5 linked regions of the Oryza sativa Japonica Group genome follow. The protein of the gene in region 1 binds, or shares a complex with, the protein of each later gene. Links are inferred from orthologs where the notes say so. Each region holds a gene or a part of one and is shown in the gene's direction. Other genes may lie near its edges.

Region 1 (4,226 bases):
TAGGTGAAGGTAAAAGATATCCACGAATAACCCATGTTTTTCCTTTGGTTCAACAAAAGCAATTCTAATTTATAAAAAACTATATTAAGCGATGGAAGTACCTTTTTTATTGTTCGTACTGCAGGTAAGATACTAGAGTTTGATTCTCCAGAAAATCTCCTCAGAGATGAATCATCAGCTTTCTCAAAGCTGGTGATGGAATTCGTGGGAAGATCATCATAGGGTAGACATCAACCAGAGTTAACATAGAGATATCAAGCAGCCACCAACCTACTTAACTCCATCTAGACTTGTATTTATCAACATTGAAACTAACAGGGCATGAAGAAGGTTTACGAGTGGACAGCAGGCATCAGAAGTACAGAAGGAAATTTTGGTTTAAGTGAAGACTATGCTAGCATTAGATACTGATCTTTTCCTGATCTAGCCCTTACCAATTGGACAGTTGCTGAATGGTGTTCATATTATATTGGCAATGCAAGTGATCTTAGATAGATTCATATTCTTTTCCACCAACTACTAGATCAAAATAAATTGTAGCCTTAATTATATTCACCAAATCATTCGTTGTTGATTTGTTTGGATAACCGGGGTATTTTTTATATTGGTTGTCACAGTACGATGCCACCCTATAGTTTGATTTTGTAAACAAAAAGGGGCATAGCTCCTATTTCCATGCCACCATATTTGCTGAAATAACACATGGATCGGTTTTTAGCACATCAGAATTTCCAGGTAACAGAAACATATCAAGAGCAGCGCCTACAGCTCCTCCCACCAGTTTAAGAATACCGGGTTTCTACTCCACAAGCACTGATGCACAATATGCATTAAAAAAACGCCGAAGCTGGCAGATCAGAAAGTAATTGGAAATACAAATCCATGGTCCCTAAATGCTACGATCAGAAACAGCGGGGCGGGTTGGGAGGGAGTCCATACCGAGCGTACGCCCTGCGAGGCAAAAGGTCGAACAGTTGGCGAGCACTTGAAAACGCCCCACGGCTCCATTACACGGTCGCCCTCCCCCACCAGCTCCAGCTCCCCTCCCTCCCACGGACCCGCACGCACGGCCGAACGCGAAAGCAGGCTGGCCAGCGCGTTCCACCGCCGCTGTCTCGCTCTCTCTCCGCCGCCACCGCCGCCGCCGCCGCCAGCCTGCGCGTTCCACCGCCGCTGTCTCGCTCTCTCTCCGCCGCCGCCACCGCCGCCGCCGCTGCGGCGGCGGCGGCATTGGTCTGCGTCGCCGTGGTGAATTCGTTGTAAGGCCCAATCGGACGGAAATCCAAATTTTGGTGGGCCTAGTTGGGCCTCCGCCTTCTCATCTCATGGGCCATTATACTGTAGCAAAAGGACTGAATCTCTCACTGACATGTGGGGCCCACGACCTGCCTTATCCTCTCCTGTTTCAGCTCACTTAAACCCCTCGACGTCGCCACCGCCGGCGACGCCGTCGTCCCCAAAACCCGAGCAAGAATGGCGGCCACTCCGGCCACCGCCACCTTCCCGCACCTCGGCCTCCGCCCCAAGCCCCTCCTCAGGCGCCGCCTCCGCCGCATCGCCGTCTCCGTCTCCCCCTCCGGCCCCGACGAGACCCCCGCGGATGACCCGCCGGTGATCCCCTCGATCCTCGTCAAGAACACCGAGCCCGAGGACGTCGCCCGCCGCCGGAGCTGGGTGGAGCACGGGTGGGCGCCGTGGGAGGAGATCATGACCCCCGAGGTCGCGTTCGCGCGGCACAGCCTCAACGAAGGGGAGGAGGTGCCGCTCCAGACGCCGGAGTCGCAGGAGGCGTTCCGGATGCTCACCCCGGCGTACCGGGAGAAGGTGGAGTCCGAGCCCGGGTACGAGGAGCGCCTCTTCGCCACGCGCGACACGCCCGAGCCCCTCGAGACCTCGTGGGCCGGCGAGCTCCCGCTCCGGCTCGTGCCGCCGCGGGACTGGCCGCCGCCGGGGTGGGAGGTGGACCCCGGCGAGCTGGAGTTCATCAGGGAGGCGCACAGGGAGTTCACGGAGAGGCTGGACATGGCGGCGGTGGCGGCCAAGGGGGTGACGCACGTGGACAAGGTGGAGAACGCGCCGGATGATCTGGGGCTGGATCGATACAAGATGTTCTTGAAGCAGTACAAGGAATGGGTGGAAGCCAATCGGGACAGGTTGGAGGAGGAGTCCTACAAGGTAAAGCCGTTAATTTTGTTCGATCATTTGTGTGATGGTTTGATTTAACTGGGAATTTGCGTTTGACTGTGCATTGTGTTAGTTAGATGTAGAAGTGTTCATGCTTTAGTGGTCTGTGCCTGTAATTAGATATCTGCAGACCAATTGCTTCAGTTCACATTGGTTATGGAACGTGTTGGCATGCTGCTAATTACTATGATAATTATCAGAGGTGATAAGTTCACAAAGGATGGAAGAAATACCTGTAGAATGTAACAGTAGTCCAAAATCATTATTCTGGTAATAACTAGATAGTTGAAAATAAACCTTTTTAGTGATTACTGCAGTGGTTTATTGTGAATTTGTGATATCTTAATAAAAGTATTTTACATTTGTATGAACAGTCTACTATTATCAGAAAACCTAGACAACGGTATCCCGTTGGAACGGGATACCCTTATATGAGACTTACCTAATACCTAATACCTGTTGTGGTACCAGCTGCATGGTACCCTATACCTGTGATACCTGTTACCCGGTACCTGTGATACCTAGGACCTGATACCTGTGATACTCGTGCAAGAGAATAGTTAATATATCTATCCCGTTGCAACGGGATCCCCTTTTGTAGCGGCCCTCTACTATTATTGTATTTTCTTATCACTTAAAAAAAGTTCCTTTTCGACCCAAAAAAAAAAACTGTTATGGTGTTCAGAACCCCCTCAGATGCCTATTTCCTTGTACGTCATGAACACCTGTGTCCTAAACTCTTAGGTTCGATGTTGGCAAGTTGTTTTGTTATTCATTTGAGTGGCTCGGTATTGTCTGTTTTATGCTCTCTTCAGAGAGAGGCACGTCAGATAACCATGGGTTGATTTTATCTCCTGTAACTAAGCTTTGTTTGTTGGTTTAGACCTTTAGTTTAGGGGTTGAGTCTCACTTGTCATCTTTAAGAGTATTTGTAGTGTTCTAGGCGGTAATACCCCTCTTTGGCTATTTTTGTCGTGCAGTTTGATCAGGATTACTACCCTGGCAGACGGAAAAGAGGTGAGGACTACAAAGAGGACATGGTATGTTCATTACCTCTTGACAATTCACTGCCTGGTCAATTTTAATTTCTTGATATTATTAGTTCCTGATGTCTTGATTGCTTTTATGCAGCTTGAACTCCCGTTCTTCTATCCTGGACAGGTTTGCTAGAAGTTCTGATTGTACTCTCATTCTTCAGCAATTTGTTGACTGTTCTCGCCCTTAAATTCTGATTGTTTGGTTGAATGCATCTCATGCAGATCTGTCGTGGTCGAGTGATCAGTGTTCACCTCTATCAGGGAGCTTTTGTGGACATCGGTTGTGTTCATGATGGGTATGGTTTCTTGTTCTGATATACAATTGTGGACCTGGTATACTTATTTGTGAAAGAATTCTGCGTGCCATTTACATCTCATTATTTGTTTAGGTGGGTACCAATAAAAGGAAATGATTGGTATTGGATCCGTCATCACATCAGACCTGGCATGGAAGTCCATGTAGAGATTCTGGTTAGTGATCTCAAATTTCACTCTTACAGTGGTTAATGATATGATGGCAGCAATACAAAAGATTAAGGAAATATTTAAGAAGTTCGCATTGCTAAGTGAATATGCCAATTGTGTCTTTTCAATTTGCATTAACTGAAAATGAATTTATTTTTCATAGAAAAAGTTTTATTCCTTTGTTGCCTGAGTTGTGGAAATTTCTTTAATTAATTAATGGAGCTTGTATAACTGTATGATGCAGGCCAAACGAGATCCCTACCGCTTCCGTTTCCCACTCGAAATGCGCTTTGTATATCCTAACATTGATCATCTAATGTGAGTATCATCATTTGAAATGCGTGTGCCAATGATTTCTGACAATCTGGAGGTTTCAGTGCCCTGTGTCTTGTGCATTTCTTCAGTTTGTTTTTAGTTGACTAACTGTTTGTCATCTTATTTTTCTTTCTAACCGCAGATTCAATAGGTTCGACTATCCACCAATATTTCACCGCAAGGAAGATACTAACCCAGAGCAGTTGTGGGTGTGACCTCTGTCCT
Region 2 (4,047 bases), about 3.8 Mb from region 1:
TTCAACAGTTCAGATGTCACTTTCTCATCTCGATCTTTTCTAATTCTAACCTTCTAGTACTATCTACATAAACTACGGAAAGAAGCTAGAGTTCTACTCCCTGACCCTTTCTAGGTTGAGTTTTTTTTGGATGGAATGAGTACAAATTAATGCTAATTAATAATTCATATACACTCCACGTTTGAGCAGAAAATTAAACTGCCAAAAAATACAAGTAATTGCAATTGAGCATATGTTCGGATGATTAATATATTTCATAATCCATTGTATCCAGCGCCATCATCAATAGCTGACACAGTGATACGTGTGATCGGTAAGTGATCGTCGGTCGGCTGCTGTACTGACGGTAGGCGTAATCCTCCAGGGACATGGATCGTCGACAGTACTGCGGAGAAGCACTATAGCTGTGCCCACCACAGTTTGTTTAATGCAGTGAATATTGAGAAAACACCGTAGCTATAGTGTGTTGATCTCTTAGTTTTTTTCTGTTATTGTTTTACATTCACTGTAGTGCAGAGGATGGCTAATAGATAGTTACATACTATTCCCTGCATCTCAAAATAAACGAATTTATTATAGGATCTACTACGGGATGTAATATGTATTAATACTTATGTTCAGATTTTCAGTAGTATCACATCTATAGCTGTTTGGTACGGCAGATGCTCCCTGTTCCATCCTCCACGAATTTCCTTTGCCTTTGAAATTCTAATTTTTTGAATAGGGGAATACTAGTACGCAAACACCCGTATTCGTCCTCTACGTACTGGTGAGCGCCTTAAATTCGCCGCCGAATCGATCGCGATTAGCCATCCGTTTTAATCAAGCTTCCATCGTCTAACGCACCGGCCGTTCTTCGCCGGTGGAGGGACAGACAGGGGATGCGGCTGCGCTACCTGCACCGATCGCGTTAAGTGGGACAAGCAAGAGCGCAAAGACAAGAGCGCAGCACGGTGCGGGAGCCCGGTGGATCAGAGCTAGTACTAGTATATACTCCAGTTTGACGGACCCAGTGCCGGCCGGGCGACGCGCGCCTGACGCCCGCGGATCGATCGATCGCCGCCGCGCGCCTGGACGAGCCCAGGTGCGCTGCCCTGACACGCCACGCGCGTGTTCATCGACAGCGCCTCCTCCGCACGGAGGAAAATGACGTCGACAGCGCCTGGCTAGCACCGTCATTACGTCAACCGCTGACGTCAGGTAGTTGGGCTTGGTCTCAAGTTCCCGACTGGGAGCACATGCATTGGGCCGGATACCAACACCACCAGGAGAAGAGGAATCCCGGCCCGATAGCACATATCACACGGATTTGTGCCCAAATTTGTAATAAGACCAATGTAGTGGGCCGACTAGTAGCCCGTAGCTCGGTAGATGCAGTGATGCACCAATTCGGATAGGGCAGGAAAGAACGGTGAAAGACGAGCGCCGCGCGAAGGCCGGTGAACTTCGTCGCCGTGATGCTTCGTCTTCCCACTCTCCTCCCCCTAAAACCCTCGCCTCCCACCACCGGCTTAAACCCCATCCACGGCCGCCGCCATGGCCACCACCCCAGCCGCCTCCTCGCCTCCTCCGCCCCGCCGCCGCCACCACCACGGCCTCCCAAGCCCGAGCCCCGTACCAGCCACGAGAACCTAGGCGACGACACCCCCGATTTCCCCACAACCAAGCCCCGCAAGCCGCGCCGCGGGCGCCGGAGCGAGGCGGCGGCGGTGGAGGACTTCGTGCGTGGCCGCCTCGAGCAGGTCTTCGCTTCCATCCGGGAGCGCGACCCCGAAGTCCTCGAAGGCAAGGGCGACATCTTGAAGCGAAAGGAGGAGCTCTCCGACGAGGAGGGAAAAGAGGGGACTGGTGAGGAAGAGGGGGAGCTGAAGGCTGTGGTTGAGGAGGAGGATCCCTCCTGGCCTCTGGACGCCGACATCGGGTGGGGGATTCGGGCGTCGGAGTACTTTGACAAGCATTCCATCAAGAATGTGACGGTGGATGGTGTGGAGATCGATTGGGAGAGGGAGGTCGAGGAGGGATGGGTCAAAGAGATCAACTGCTTGGAGTGGGAGAGCTTCGCCTTCCACCCTAGCCCCCTCATCGTTCTTGTCTTCGAGCGCTACAACAGGTATAAATCACTATTCTACCCAGACTCTATTCATGTGAACCCATAGTACCTATATGTTAGGACCAAAGTGATAAACTTCATAAACTTCAAGCTTCTCACTTTATATTGTCATATCTGATAATTTTGAATCCATTGAATCAAAAGTTCAGAACTACCCCTGAAGTAATGCATAAAAATGTAAAAATGTACTATCGTTTTGAGTTGCCTCAGAAAATTAGGTGTTCTACTTCCATGACAGGATGATATGTACGCGTAATGTTTTGCCTTTGTTTATAGGGCAGCTGACAATTGGAAGTTTCTTCAAGAATTGGAAAAGGCGGCTAAAGTTTACTGGAATAGTAAAGATCGGCTACCTCCTCGGGTCAGTGTGAATCATATTTATAGTTAATACTTGATGTATTACGGTAAGGTTATTGAGGTGGTTGGTCATATGCTAAATTTAATTGAGTTCCAGACAGTGAAGGTTGATATGAATATTGAGAGAGACCTGGCATTTGCACTTCAAGTAAAAGAATGCCCACAATTATTATTCCTCAGGGGAAACAAGATATTATACAGGGAAAAAGGTGAGTAGTTAGTTCCATTTTTATGGTAAATCCTGTTCACATAGTTAACAAATTGAATGGAACTTTGAATTATTAAATTCCTTGATTGCTAATATGCACTTTCATGTTAGGCCCACCTTTTTCAATGGTCAAAATTGCCACTCTGACAACACCTGATTGCCTCATTTGCTTGTTTACAGAACTAAGAACTGCCGACGAACTAGTTCAAATGATTGCCCATTTCTACTACAATGCAAAGAGACCATCTTGTGTTAATCCTGAAGCTATTGCACCTCCGTGCTAATCTCCTGCATTTCAGCGCTTATGTATTGAGACAGTGCCTTAATTCTCAACTCTTGGTGAGTGTACACTGTGGTAAGCTTTTCATCCAATGATAACCTGTTCCCCGTTAGAAAACTGTATTCTATACTGGTCATTGTTCTCTTTAATGTCCTTTCTCTGTATTAGTACCTGGTTCAGGGGAGAATATTATTAATTTTGCTAACTTTATTTGCCAGGAAAATAGTCTAAATAGACCAGTGTGGTTATGATGCTTGTATCTGTAATAAATGTATCACTTGAAGAGGAAGGAGAGAAACCTCTTACTGGCTCATCTCAAGTTGGGAGGGGGTCAGGTATCAACTATGTCATATATTTTGGTATGCTCATGTTTTTAGCTGTACACTTTCACCTTTGTACTGTACTCTAACAAAACATACAGTTCATCAAATTTCTAGATAGAACAGGAGGGAATGCTAGCTTAATTATCTGCGTGGCCATCCTGTTAAGGAGGTTGTAAAGTCGATTGTAAACTTTTGAGGCGTAGTGTAATGTCATTTCACGCCATAGATGCAAAATGAAGGCAGGGGGGTCAACCCATTTGTCATCTTATAACTCCTCTGATTATTTTTCAGTGACGTAATTGAATTTGTTGGATGGAGAACGATACAAGACATACCATACATGCATTATAGGGTCATTTTGGTAGAACAATCTCATCTTGTGGAACTGCTTTCAGATACTCTTTTCTTTGGTTAGCCCCCCTTTTTTTATCTTGGGTGGCAAAGGGGGTATAGTTGTGCTCCAAATTCCCATGAGAATGGGATGGCAATGCTTCCCCCGGTCTCAAAAACAAGTCGCTTGAGAATGCGTCCAGTCAGCATAAGTTAAGTTTGGCTATAAAATAAATTAAAGTATATGTTTTGGGTGTTTCCATCTATAAAAATAACTTGAACTATAGGTTTTGGGTATATGAAAATGATATATTTAAGTTTGTCATAACAAGAGCTTTAATAGTAGACTGTCCGCATAAGAGAGATCATGAACAATCTGCCACTGGTTTTGAGTGCTCCAAAAGGAATGCAAAATGCAATTTCTGATCAAAGGTACTAG
Region 3 (4,175 bases), on another chromosome or scaffold:
ATTGTCTTATAACGGATAGTGTAGCAGTGACAATTTTTTCAGACAACAATACAATGTGCATATGTTTTCATGTATCTCTCTCTTTCAGTAAACGTATTCCCGGTCTAAATACACAAAAACAACAAATTATATATATGTAGTGCATCTATTGTTTTTAGGTGCCATATAATATCTATATTTACCATCGTATGGACACTGATATAAGAATATTTTTTTTGGAATAATGTTATAATAATATTAAAAATCTTAATTTCTTCATATATGAGTATATGACTAGATAATAGAATCCTTTATTGTTCTCTCTTTCTTTTTTCTTCTCCACATGATCTTAATATATGTTCCACATGGTTTTCTCGATTAGAACAGATCTGCCATCACCTTCTGAGCACAAAACGCGCGCGCACATAGATAGATAGATAGATTTCTAAAAAGATAAAAATAGATAGATAGATAATATTGGTATGAAACAAGATTAATTGATTCCCTCCCCTGCCTCAAAGTTGAATGTTGTTGCCAGAGATAGGTCCTTAACGGGCTTTATTGCTGCTGAGATGAAATCATTGGCAAGATGTTTTACTTAAGTTTCTTTTGTTCATGTAAGCGTAAGCCATAAGCCGCAGAGCTGATGAGGTGGTTCATATGTTAGCTAGAACAAGCTAGCTTGCTGTTCACTTGGTTTACTAACAATGTATCCCTGGTTGTATAAAGGATCTTGTAAACTCTGAATCTTTTTACGAATGAATGGGTCAACCCTGATATTAATTTTTAAAAACATTGAACGGCAGGAGCTCTGCTGGATATATTAGAACCTTTATATTAAAATATAGAAGAAAAAACTATCTCCGAGAATCTCATCGATGTATTCCTTACAGTCAAGACAGATAATATATGAGGCCCTTGGCTGGCCTTTGCTGTGGTCACTAGAGGAGAGTAGGGCTTCGGCTGGTCAGTCGTCACCACTGCCGCTCTCCTCGGGTTCGACTCTCCACCGCTGTCACTCACTCTGTTGTCGCCACCCAACGAGGCCCACAAGAGAGGAAAGAGAGATAGAGGGAAGGTGAGGAAGAAAACAAGATGAGGAGGAAGTTGCTGACATGTGAGTTCTACCTGCTAACTCAACGAGTCAAGTACGGTCAACCTACCACGTTAGAGAAAACCGTTTTCCAAACCATAAAGGAGTTAATTTGTATCAGTTTTTGAAGATGGGAGATGCGCTATACCAGGTTGTGTGGTTGAGGGAGGTGATTCAATTAGGAGCGAACGATAAGGGAGCTAATATACACTTATTCCTCGCGAGGTTATAGATTTTAAGGCCCATGGGCCATTCATTTGAATGGGCTAAAATCTCGTCTCGTCCATCGCAGCAGTAGATAACGTATTCTTCCATCGCAGGAGGTGCGCTTCCTATCCCCATCGCCACCCATGGCGACTCCCGCCGCTTCCCCTCTCCTGCTGCCGCTCCCCCTCCCCCTCCCGGCCTCCACCTTCCCGCCTCGCCGCGCCGTTCCCTGCGCCCGCCGCCTCGTCTTGCGGCCTCCCCGCGCCGGACGCCCTCGCCTCCGGGACCCGCCTCCCGCGGCACCCCCACCGGCGGCGGAGGAGGTCGGCGAGGAGGAAGAGGACGACGATGCCCCCCCGCTCAGGCTCCTCGAACCGCCCCAGGAGGACGACCCCTTCCCGCCCGAGGTGCTCAATCTCTTCCCGCCTAGTTGCTTCCGTTGCTCACATCTCTTCTGCTCGCGCGCATGCATGCATGATGAACAATGTCGTCGTGTGCAGATGGAGCCGGCCGACCCCGACTTCTACCGGATAGGGTACGCGCGGATGATGCGGGCGTACGGGGTTGAGTTCTTGGAAGGCCCCGATGGGATGGCCGTCTATGCCTCCCGGGACGTCGACCCACTCCGCAGAGCTAGAGTGAGCCTTTCTTTAACTATCCCATCATTATCTTTCCAATTCACTGCAATTGGACATAAGTACTATACTTACAAAGGGGCATTACAAATAGCATGTACAAGTACAATGTAGAGCCAGCCACAGCCAGTACTCACTCCACTCCAGTACATATATATGGTCTACATTCTGTGGTTGTTACTTTACCATTTACTGCTAGTTGGTTAGCGTATGTATGTCCTACTATCAGAACAAATATGAATTCTACTGAATAGTACGAAATGAAGTCAATCTTTGAATTTGTTAGGTACTTTACGCTTACATATCTTCTGCTGCCTTTTATAATGCTATGCAAATAATCAAATATGGTGTAAGGACTGCTCACATTCAGTTTCTGGATGCAACTAAAGCTTGCTAGTGCTTCACTTTAATATACCACATAGAACTGTTCTATTTCAGAAATCATGAGGCAGCTTGCTCGTGTGTTCACTACTTTTTAAGAACTAGTTAAGTTTAATCACACACTTATGCATAATCTTCTTGGCATATATATAAAAATTCATTTCACTTTATCAGGTGATTATGGAGATTCCATTGGAGCTGATGCTGACTATAACTCAAAAACGCCCTTGGATGTTTTTCCCCGACATTATTCCACTAGGCCATCCCATATTTGACATCATTGAATCAACAGATCCTGAGGTAAATGGAGCCCTCTAACCCTCTAATTATGGTATGTTCCAGTGAAGACTGTATGTGCATTCCAGAGTTTGTGTTTTTTAGTTTCTACAGAATCACTTATGAGGAACATTGTGTAATTAAGATTCAATAGCGCTTTGACTGCCCATTCCATCTACTATGAAAATAAGCTGTTATATTGGATAAAAGGGATGGTATTACTCAACACTTGCAACCTGTTTTCTTCCTTCATGCGGTGTCAAAGCTTCATAAGTGATGTAGACTGCATCCTAACGCAATCTGTACCCTCTTGCAGACAGATTGGGATCTAAGGTTAGCTTGCCTTCTTCTCTATGCATTTGATGTAGAAGACAACTTTTGGCAGCTATATGGTGATTTTTTGCCTAGTGTTGATGAATGCACTAGCTTGCTTTTGGCACCAAAGGTATTGTAAATCTAAACAAAATGAATTGTAGTCTTCTTAAACCTGACAATACAGTTTGAATGAATTTACATGCCTGGCTTGCCAGGACGATCTAATGGAACTAGAAGACCAAGATCTTGCCACGAAAATGTTAAAGAACCAGAAGAGAGCAATTGATTTTTGGCAAAAACATTGGGTACACTTCTGTACTATTTGATCAACTTCGCTGGCTTGGGTACATCTAACACTAGCTTGATGGGTAATGTCCAGCATAAAACAATCCCTCTAAAGCTAAAGCGTCTTGCCCCTGACCATGAAAGATTTCTATGGGCACTGAGTATTGTTCAGTCTCGCTCTGTCAATTTGAAACTGAGAATGGGAGCCTTCCTCCAAGATGCAAATGTCCTAGTGCCGTATGCTGGTACATGTTTTCTTATCTGTTCCCCTTTATGCTCTTTATTTTTATTTTCAGTGTGTATTAAGCACCGATTACTAAAATTAAGAATAAAATCACTTAGTTTCTTCAGCTTGCGATGATAATCAGATGTCTAACAGTCTAAGTCAAGGCTGCGGTCTGAGGGATCTTTTGCTCCATTTATTTTGAGCTGGCGAATGCTATAAAGGTTTTTATAATGTTATAGCGCTAATGTTACTTGCACAGTAAATCATAGTTACCAACTGATCCAAGATATTATATTTTCTAATATCAGCACTACTTCTGTATGGTTAAACTCTGTTGGAATAAGGATCTAACTAATATCTATTGTCATTTTTCACACCAATACTACGCTTTATTCCTTCTAGACGTTCTAGTCAGGCAGTATAGTTACATTGAATTACTTAATAATTATCACAAAGGCATGAAATTCAAAACTATACTGTTCTGATAATCAGCATATTCTAGCTTCTGATTACTGATACTGAGTCTCATCATAACTTATAGCTTGCCTATTTGTCTCCAGATATGCTGAATCATTCACCTGATGCTAATTGTTTCCTGCATTGGCGTTTCAAAGATCGTATGGTTGAAGTCATGATTAAGGCTGGGCATGCTGTCAAAAAAGGAGATGAGGTACTGTTTAGAGCTTAGAGTACAATTAGCTTCCTTGTGAGCAAAGAGCGACTAGTTTAATGTTATATTATAATTAAAAATTCCTTATTTGCATGGAAAGTTGCCAAC
Region 4 (4,210 bases), on another chromosome or scaffold:
AGCTAGTTGCTTTAACTCCTGTCTTTCAATGGGAATTGTCAAAAATTCCTCAGCCATAACATAGTTAGAGAGTATGCTACTATGCTTAAGATAGTATGACTGACGACCTTACTAGATAGATTTTTCAAATGGATGGGTGCATCGATCGTGTCCAGGATTGGAGTTGGATCCTTCTCCCAAAAGAAATCATCGACATCTGGCAGCGCAGCCACTCTTCTATTGAAGCGCTGTACAAAAAGAGAGAACATTCACCATCTGTGAGTATGAGACTACAAAGTTCAGAGTCCTTCTCCGGCCACAAATGTATCCCTAGTGAAATAGTTATCAAATTCTGGCAGGCTGCGACTAAAGCTCACACAATGTACTTCATTCTTTTATTCTTTGTGGGACTAAATATCTACCCTGAAGCTAAAATGTTAGCCTTGTCTGCACAGTGTACTGCAGATATGGAGAAAGAACATACCCTTGATGGCATATTGAACACCAGTGTTCGACATGGCTTCAAATTCGATGTTTTGCATCTCAAACACAGACAAGAGTGGAGACAGCAACTTGTTGAGCGCACAAAAGTTGATTCCTCACAGATTAAATTAACAGCAGGTGGAGAATGCAGATATCTCCCACCCATCCTGCGCAAGGAGTGACGACCAAAAGCCTGAAATTTACAGTATTCTTTAGCCTGTGAGAAACTTATTTTTTTTCTAAAAATAAACATGGAGAGATCACTGGATCCTAAATTCATCATAAACAATTATCCACATATGTTTTCAGTGTTCTAGATGAAGATGAGCACACAATCAAGTATCAGTCCTTGGAATGACACCACACCAAGAATCAGCTACAAACAGCAAACTCATCTATCCATCCAGGGACAGCTAAAATGGAGAATCAGACGGCCAAAATCCGTAATCCCCAATTTACACCACAGGCAACCAGCTTCCACTAGAAACCGAAATAGCCGCGGGGGGCAAAAGAAAACCAAGAACCCATCTACCGTTACCTCCTCTCCTCCTTCAAACCGGCCACCCGCCGCCGCCGCACGCGCAGGATCGGCGGCGAGGGAGCCGGAGGCGGCTCAGCGTGAGGGGGCGCTGCTGCTCGCGAGTGGCAGCAGCAGCAACCCTAGCTCCGGTTTGGGATTTGGGACGCGGAGTGCTCCTCTGCGCTCTTGACATGACAGATTAGTTAGGCATTAATCCGAGCAGAAAAGGGGACGATGATTAATTTGACAGAGGATTAGCTACTAAACTAATCACGTCTCTCCTAATCATTCATTATTCGGTTAACTTGTTCGTCCGTACTCGCGGGGCCCAACTGCCAGTGGCACTGGAGTGGTTTGCTCGGGTAAATTTACGAGATTGCCCCTGGGATGAGATAGAGACGAAGTGAAAAAGAAAAAAGCTTCGATTTTTTCTTTTGCAGAGGTGGTGGATAGATAGCGCGGCAGAGGAAAGAGGAGAAGAAAAGATGGCGGCTTTCGCCTCCGCTCTCCGCGTTCTCCCCTCGCCGCCGGCTGCGGTGCCTCGTCGGCTTCGCTCGGTGAGCTCCTCGTCGCGAAACCCATGGATACCTTCTTCTTCTTTCTGCCCCTTGCTCGTGCGCTCGCTGGAAGCTTTCTCATTTGGCGAGCTGCCTTGTTCTTCGATTTGTGACTTGAGATTTGATAAAAGGGATAGGAAGGGGAAGGGAGACACTGGCATTTCAAAGAGTTAGACGTTTGGAATTCGAGGGCATTGCAGGTTTTTTCCTTGCAGATTTTAGGATAGTGCGAATTTGAGGACTTTAAATCGATTAATAATTGATTATGAGTGGCACTATAATCTTTTGTACCATATTATTATCGGTCTCAAACATGACACCGCTAAAGATCATGTGTGTCTGTGATGTTACAAATCAATATACTATTTGATAAGTTAGTGATCCTTTATGGTGGATATTCAGCTTTTGTGAGTAATTTTTCAAGCCCTAGTTTTTTAAGAACAGGTTTGTATAGGTGGTGGGTCTATGTAGTGTCATATAATCTCATTGTAGTTAGACAAGATCGTTTCTCTATGTTGTTGGTATTCACCACGGTAAGTCAGCCACGTCTCATTTTTCTTCCATCTTCCACTGTGCATATGCAGTGTAAGATGTTTAATGTTTCTTTGTGTTAAATTTGGTGAACTGTGCCAGTTTCCATGATAATCCGTGTCATGCTTGCGTAGTGCTCAAGCAATGCTAAAGAGAGCTTAGGATTGTGTGTATCACGCTGACACTGGGCTTAGCAACCAATGTTCTATTGTGAAGTTGGAATGACATTACAAGCTTTGAAGATTGTACCTCAGCTTTTGTAATTCTACGGGCCCTTGACTATGATGTTTAGTGCTGGTTGCAATCTTTACGCCTTCTGTTTGTTGCAGAGAGAACAAAGGCAGGGCTGTAGATCTCGAAGGTATTCAAAAGTCGTGGCTTACTACGCTCTCACTACTCCGCCGTATAAACTTGTATGTTCTCCTCACCTGTTAATATTGCCTCGACAGATTACATTCTGCCATTTAAAAGGAAAAGATTTTAACTTATAGCTTGTCCTATGGTGTCCAGGATGCCCTGGAACCTTATATTAGCAAGAGGACAGTTGAACTTCACTGGGGTAAGCATCAGCAAGACTATGTGGATAGCTTGAATAAGCAGCTTGCTACCAGCATGTTCTATGGGTACACTCTGGAGGAACTAATAAAAGAAGCATACAACAACGGCAACCCATTACCAGAATATAATAATGCAGCACAGGTAATGTTGTTATTATTTGGCTTTTTTCCCCCATTAGTTGGATATTTTATTTGTACCCATCAAATTTTCATCCTGATAGCTTCAGTGTACATGTTTAATTGTTGCACATAACTGAAAGCCTGAAAAAAGGATGAGCAGTAGGCTTATTATGGTTCTAATTTTCAATCTTCTGAAATACAGGTATGGAACCATCACTTCTTCTGGGAATCAATGCAGCCAGAAGGTGGTGGGTCACCAGGGCGAGGTGTCCTGCAGCAGATAGAGAAGGATTTTGGCTCTTTTACTAATTTTAGGGAAGAGTTTATACGCTCAGCATTATCACTTTTGGGGTCTGGCTGGGTTTGGCTTGTCTGTAAGTTTTTTATTTTCATTTTCTTTGAAGTTCAGCCTGTACAGGCACTGTTGGTTCAATCTGACTTCCTGAAATGTTGTTTCTACAATCTAAATTTAGTTTTTAAAGTCTGATTTATACACGTCTGGTCTATCTTTTGCTTGTTTCAGTGAAGAGAAAAGAACGAAAATTTTCGGTAGTCCATACACAAAATGCCATCAGTCCACTTGCACTTGGTGATATTGTATGTTTTCTCATTTCCTTTTGAAATGTTTAGAATAATAGCATCCCAAGTATAAACCTTTGTGATGACATTCCATGCCCTCTTCTCTTGCAGCCACTCATCAATCTAGACTTGTGGGAGGTAAGGAAATGACACTGCGTTTAGATATTACATTATGCTAAATATTGACATATCTACTTTTGTGTTTCAGCATGCTTACTACTTGGATTACAAGGTATTTTCTAGATCCTCTTTTTCTTCTTATACCTAAAATTGTAATTCACCAAGTACTAAGCTATCATAAATCACTGGTGATGCTTCCTTTTGATGCTTCAGGATGACAGGCGAATGTATGTTACAAACTTTATCGACCATCTTGTCTCTTGGGATACTGTCACTCTACGCATGATGCGCGCTGAGGCTTTTGTGAACCTTGGTGAACCAAATATCCCAGTTGCATGATATGAGATGATATGGATATGACCTAGAGATATCTATGCATGTATTCTCATCATGAGGTAAAATCCAGCATTTTGCAACATCATATCTGGTACATATGCAGCTTAATTATGTAGTTCATCATTCAGTATATATACAAAAAGAAACTAGAGAATCATTCAGTTTTTGGTGATGACTTATTTTCAACTATGACGCATCTTCAGCATTAGCAATGCCAGAAATCATGCTCCTAGGACATTATCTTATAACACAAAAAAGTTTTCTCTTGAAAAACAGCACGTGAGGCAATCAATCAAATATCGGGATTGAGATTTAAACACATGCTGCTGGGAGTATCAGGGAGCATGTCGCTTGATGCTGTTGCTTCGGCTGGGTTAAGAAACAGAATCAAGTGCCCTCAAAGAAACAGAAATCGACAATACATGATA
Region 5 (4,155 bases), about 6.8 Mb from region 1:
CTTTCTCTTGTACCGACACAAATATAACGAGGGGCCATGACCGTTCAAAAGCCATTTCCACATACCGTCTCCAAGCAGCAGTGCTGTCCATCGGCATTAGTTCCCAAAAATAACCTTCTATTGCACGACTCACTACAACAGATACTGACATTGTGTAGACTTCTTGGTCTATTCTAAATCCTCTCAACAACCAACTATAAATTGACTCAAATGTTCTCTCCGCAGGCCTATCGATGCCCTTAGATGTCATTACAAAATCTGACAGATCAACACCATCTGGACCAAATCTAATATTTCCTTCACCGTGAACTATCTGAAATGTGACCTTACTTGACATTGTGCCTGATGAAAACAATAACTGCGTTAACCTCGCATTTCTGTACTACGCCCTAAGTTACATTCTCTACAATATTGTTCTCTAAATTTCTAAAAGTAGGTTACATTCTCCAGATCAAACTAAACTACATCTTACAATTAACACTACTGTCTATGTCTCAATTCATACTATTATATTCTATGCTCTGGATCTACACATATGTGCTGTGTGCTACAGATCTGCTAAAATATATGGAACTAAAACTAAAACGCAACATATGTACTCAAACGTAATATATTAGTACAAATGCAAAAGATGTATGGGAGCATACCTGTGATGAAGTGAGCGAACCAGCAGGGCTTCGCCGCTTCCCTTCTGCTGCCCTCCCCTCTCTCTCTCTTTCGTTTTTTTGGATTTTTAGTGAATATAATGAAATTTCACAGGGGAGGGGCTGGGCTTTATAGGGGGGAGGCAAAAATCGCCCTCCCCCAGGGCGGCAAGGGGGCCGCCTGCAAAATTCCATGCCCCCTCGCCGCCCATTTGCAGGCGGCCCCCCCGCACAGTGCAAAATCGCCCTAGCGGAGGGCGGCAAGGGGGCCGCCTGCAAAATTCCATGCCCCCCCTCGCCGCCCATTTGCAGGCGGCCCCCCGCACAGTAGAAAATCGCCCTCGCGGAGGGCGGCAAGGGGGCCGCCTGAAAAAATTCCATGCCCCCCCCGCCGCCCATTTGCAGGCGGCCCCCCGCACAGTAGAAAATCGCCCTCGCGGAGGGCGGCAAGGGGGCCGCCTGCAAATTTCGTTGACGGCCGTCGCCCGAGAGCGAACGGCCGTCTGCCACGTCATTTTCGCCGCCCTCTGGGAGGGCGATTTTTAAAAATCGCCCTCCCAGAGGGCTGTAGGCGACTATTTCCGTCAATTTTCAAAATGGAAAATTATTTTTGTAAAACTTTTAATAAAAAAAATTATAAATAAAAAAAATTCGAATTTGAAGTCCACCGGATAAACCCCGTGTTCCTCTTCGAAAACCTCTCCTTGTTATCCTGTCCCCTTCCGAAGACCAAACCGGCTACCTGAACTTCGGTGCGCGTCCATGGAGCTCAACCCATCCGCTTCCCTCCCCTAGCTCTCTCTCGTCCACCTCGGGTTCCAACCGCAGCATCGGAGGCGGAGCCATGGCGTCGTGCTCCCGCACTTGGCTCCTCCCAGGTGACCTCTCGCCCCTCATTTCCAACCGCCAATTCGCACGGCTCAAGCGAACTCACCTCCCTCCAATACTCCGCAGGCATGGCGCCGCAGGCCACCGCCCAGACTGTTCCTCGCCCCCTCCAGTCCTTGGTAACTCCTCCCCCATCGGAATGCCCGAGAAAATTGCTGAAATTTTACCGCGTTCCCGTGCTCCCAGTTGTCATGGGTGCTGAGTATTTTTTTATTTTGATTTGTGTTTGGTGCGTGCGCAGAAGGTGTTTGCTGGATTGCCTCACCGGAGAAGGGTGCTGTTTTCTGGTGTGTCGAGCAGAACGCGAAGAGGCAGGATCAGGAGCGTCAAGGACGACTCGCTCCATTTTGATCCATCTAAGATCGAGGCGCCACCGTACTCCAGTTACTTCGACTCCACGTCGGGCCAGCTCGAGCCGGCGTCGGGTGCTCGGGCAAGCATACCTGGGCAGGAGTACTGGCCGGAGGGCACTGCATCCCGCGTACGCGCTGCCCGTGCACCTGCACCGGTCGGGGAATCAGCTGGGACACCGTCGTTTGGTAAGAAGCCCGGGAGTAGAAGGAAAGGGTACAAGGAGCAGGTAGCATCAGCGACGGCAGGGAGAGGCACGGAGACCAGTGGAGATGAGGGAGAGTCGGTTGTGGCCATTGAGGCCTCATCAGATGAGACACTGGAGGAGACAAAGGATTCATTGGATGAGTACGTCGTTTATGAGATGCCCAAGGAAGAAAATTTGAGTGAATATGAGATGGACAAGATGATGGGACGGCCACACCCGTTCGTTGACCCGCAGAAGGCAATGTCTGTAGGGGAACCAAAATCTAGTGAAGAGCTGTGGTGGAACTGGAGGAGGAAGTCTGAGGAAAATGAAATGTGGTCAAGATGGCAGAGGAGGCGTCCAGATGTTGACACGGTTAGTTCTTGATTGGTTTGAACTTAATAAATGACTTATAAGTCTTTTTTACTTAAGTTTTTCTGCCTATTGTCACTTGTTAACATAACCTAGTAGCGAATATGATGTACACAGTATGGTTCTTATTCTCCACTCCTCCTGCTGCATGTCCACACCACAATTTTGAGGGTTTCAATTGTTTGTATGCTAGTCTTCGTATACCCTATTTTGATAGCACAAGGCACAAACACTAAGGTAGTACTCCCTCTGTCCCAAAATATAAGAACCTAGTATTGGATGGGACGCAGGATACTATATACTTTGGTTGGACACATCCCATTCGGTACTAGGTTCTTATATTTTTGGGACGGAGGGAGTACATGTAGTTTTGTGTGTGCCAAAATATCCAACCAAAGTATAGTGTTTGTAGTGCTAATATTTCCAGAAGCCACACAATGTCGTCATGATCATCGTATGCATCTTCTAGTGTATAAAAGATGCAAGCAGAGTAGTGTACACAGTGATGAGCTGGTATTTTTATTCTGGGAGTTCAAAATGAGATGAAATACTTAACCATATATCTTGGGTTCAGACAGAATTAGGTTCTTCATTAGCCTAGACTGGTAACATTTATAAGGATCTTCTGGGGTCATCTCTATTCCACGAATCCTAAAAGCTGTGTGGCTCAGTTGAACGCCTATTCCCCCATACTAAATCCACCACCTGGTAGATACACGTGCACAGCTTGCAGATGTGGCATTTCCTATACATGGCTTATCAATTTAATCTATATTGTTGGTTGATGTTTTTAACCTTTTTCATTATTCAGATTAGTGTTTCTTCTAACTTACAGCTCTGTGTCTTGTCAGTTATAATTTAAATTGTAACACTCATTTCATTATTGTAGGTCTTTGCAAAAGCAATGGCAGAAACTGGGCAGATCAAAATATTTGGGGACCACCCTACCAGAACAGAAGCTGCTCTTGCCAAGGCAAGAAGACATTTATTCAAAGAGGAAAGGTTGGCTGAATACTAGAAATTATTTTCTCAAAATTTAGTGATTTTGCTTTTCGTGGGTCTTCACCATATGTGAAAACCGTGCTTTTAATTTTAATATCTTCACCATATGTGCAATGATACTCTTTAAGCTTATGTAGACTCTTTAACTGACCTTTGGTATCCCCTCGTTGATTTATAACAAATATTTGATGGATGTTATTATGTCTAGTTGCCTACCTGCTGGTTTGTACTTCAATGTTACTTGTTATGACAGCAGAAAAAAATATTGACACAACGTCCTTTCAACATGATATTTTCACAGTATTCTTAAGGTATATAGTTCTATCTTGCCTTCCGTCCATTCTTATATTGGATATACAATGAAAACACAGGTTAGAAGCAGAACAAAGGAGACTAGAAGAAATAGGGCCAATAGCATACTATTCGGAATGGGTTGAAGCGTATAAAAACAAAGACACTTCACGAGAAGCTGTACAGAAACACTTTGAGGAGACTGGCGAAGATGAGAATACTCAACTTATAACAATGTTTCAACACCAAACTGCTGGGGAATTCCGTATCATGATGGGCACTGATGTTCGCATACAACGAGATCCTTTGGCAATGAGGATGCGGGAAGACCAGATCAAACAGAGTATATCTTCTTTTCTCAATCCTGATCATTTTATATTATTGACATCTACAAGCCGCTTTTGCTGAATTTATACATGG

What was found.
Region 2: protein PLASTID TRANSCRIPTIONALLY ACTIVE 10 (region 1) and thioredoxin-like fold domain-containing protein MRL7 homolog, chloroplastic share a complex: the UniProt entries of both Arabidopsis thaliana proteins name them as parts of the transcriptionally active chromosome (TAC) complex. The link is inferred for Oryza sativa Japonica Group from reciprocal best matches to the Arabidopsis thaliana genes PDE312 and MRL7.
Region 3: protein PLASTID TRANSCRIPTIONALLY ACTIVE 10 (region 1) and protein PLASTID TRANSCRIPTIONALLY ACTIVE 14 share a complex: the UniProt entries of both Arabidopsis thaliana proteins name them as parts of the transcriptionally active chromosome (TAC) complex. The link is inferred for Oryza sativa Japonica Group from reciprocal best matches to the Arabidopsis thaliana genes PDE312 and PTAC14.
Region 4: the proteins of protein PLASTID TRANSCRIPTIONALLY ACTIVE 10 (region 1) and superoxide dismutase [Fe] 2, chloroplastic are in contact, whole or in part, in a cryo-EM structure (PDB 8XZV), measured with the Spinacia oleracea proteins. The link is inferred for Oryza sativa Japonica Group from reciprocal best matches to the Arabidopsis thaliana genes PDE312 and FSD3. Residues at the interface, in XP_021866326.1 of Spinacia oleracea: Arg80, Lys81, Trp84, Val85, Trp89, Pro91, Glu156, Leu158, Arg177, Asp178, Arg188, Glu192, Arg195, His198, Lys199, Ala202, Arg204, Tyr276, Pro277, Tyr314, Trp315, Glu329, Leu331, Arg346, Asp353, His354, Leu355, Leu356, Phe357, Arg359; in XP_021853685.1 of Spinacia oleracea: Tyr59, Tyr60, Gly61, Leu62, Lys63, Lys64, Pro65, Pro66, Leu100, Asp104, Leu106, Tyr107, Gly108, His109, Thr110, Lys116, Val117, Tyr119, Asn120, Tyr121, Gly122, Asn123, Glu142, Lys194, Ser204, Asn205, Arg258, Gln260, Ala261, Phe262.
Region 5: protein PLASTID TRANSCRIPTIONALLY ACTIVE 10 (region 1) and protein PLASTID TRANSCRIPTIONALLY ACTIVE 12, chloroplastic-like share a complex: the UniProt entries of both Arabidopsis thaliana proteins name them as parts of the transcriptionally active chromosome (TAC) complex. The link is inferred for Oryza sativa Japonica Group from reciprocal best matches to the Arabidopsis thaliana genes PDE312 and PTAC12.

Annotation. Positions count from the first base shown.
Region 1 is NC_089035.1:39,905,218-39,909,443, reverse strand, and holds the start of protein PLASTID TRANSCRIPTIONALLY ACTIVE 10, read left to right. Parts: upstream 1-1,425; 5' UTR 1,426-1,473; coding exon 1,474-2,175; intron 2,176-3,164; coding exon 3,165-3,224; intron 3,225-3,315; coding exon 3,316-3,345; intron 3,346-3,443; coding exon 3,444-3,517; intron 3,518-3,610; coding exon 3,611-3,692; intron 3,693-3,930; coding exon 3,931-4,004; intron 4,005-4,143; coding exon 4,144-4,210; intron 4,211-4,226. Other genes in the region: putative ABC transporter C family member 15, read left to right, coding at 1-9, 125-222.
Region 2 is NC_089035.1:36,100,858-36,104,904, forward strand, and holds thioredoxin-like fold domain-containing protein MRL7 homolog, chloroplastic, read left to right. Parts: upstream 1-1,375; 5' UTR 1,376-1,457; coding exon 1,458-2,110; intron 2,111-2,386; coding exon 2,387-2,471; intron 2,472-2,564; coding exon 2,565-2,676; intron 2,677-2,855; coding exon 2,856-2,959; 3' UTR 2,960-3,030; intron 3,031-3,173; 3' UTR 3,174-3,544; downstream 3,545-4,047. UniProt on the Arabidopsis thaliana protein: Plays an essential role in early steps of chloroplast development. Involved in the regulation of plastid gene expression. May positively regulate plastid-encoded RNA polymerase (PEP) activity through binding to FSD3 and CITRX/TRXZ.
Region 3 is NC_089039.1:29,436,436-29,440,610, forward strand, and holds the start of protein PLASTID TRANSCRIPTIONALLY ACTIVE 14, read left to right. Parts: upstream 1-1,368; 5' UTR 1,369-1,422; coding exon 1,423-1,686; intron 1,687-1,779; coding exon 1,780-1,917; intron 1,918-2,469; coding exon 2,470-2,595; intron 2,596-2,887; coding exon 2,888-3,016; intron 3,017-3,101; coding exon 3,102-3,191; intron 3,192-3,265; coding exon 3,266-3,416; intron 3,417-3,957; coding exon 3,958-4,067; intron 4,068-4,175. UniProt on the Arabidopsis thaliana protein: Essential for chloroplast development, especially for thylakoid formation. Involved in plastid gene expression, probably by maintaining plastid-encoded RNA polymerase (PEP) activity.
Region 4 is NC_089040.1:2,412,997-2,417,206, forward strand, and holds the start of superoxide dismutase [Fe] 2, chloroplastic, read left to right. Parts: upstream 1-1,405; 5' UTR 1,406-1,467; coding exon 1,468-1,539; intron 1,540-2,399; coding exon 2,400-2,483; intron 2,484-2,580; coding exon 2,581-2,769; intron 2,770-2,949; coding exon 2,950-3,121; intron 3,122-3,270; coding exon 3,271-3,344; intron 3,345-3,437; coding exon 3,438-3,464; intron 3,465-3,534; coding exon 3,535-3,558; intron 3,559-3,659; coding exon 3,660-3,785; 3' UTR 3,786-3,841; intron 3,842-4,058; exon of another isoform or gene 4,059-4,210. Other genes in the region: probable 1-deoxy-D-xylulose-5-phosphate synthase, chloroplastic, read right to left, coding at 1-18, 108-227, 464-628. UniProt on the Arabidopsis thaliana protein: Destroys superoxide anion radicals which are normally produced within the cells and which are toxic to biological systems. Plays important role in chloroplast development, particularly in the maintenance of thylakoids membranes.
Region 5 is NC_089035.1:33,074,541-33,078,695, forward strand, and holds the start of protein PLASTID TRANSCRIPTIONALLY ACTIVE 12, chloroplastic-like, read left to right. Parts: upstream 1-1,350; 5' UTR 1,351-1,488; coding exon 1,489-1,522; intron 1,523-1,598; coding exon 1,599-1,651; intron 1,652-1,773; coding exon 1,774-2,445; intron 2,446-3,331; coding exon 3,332-3,444; intron 3,445-3,815; coding exon 3,816-4,078; intron 4,079-4,155. UniProt on the Arabidopsis thaliana protein: Involved in plastid gene expression. Acidic transcriptional coactivator necessary for the transactivation of many PIFs target genes (class B genes), particularly during the regulation of hypocotyl growth.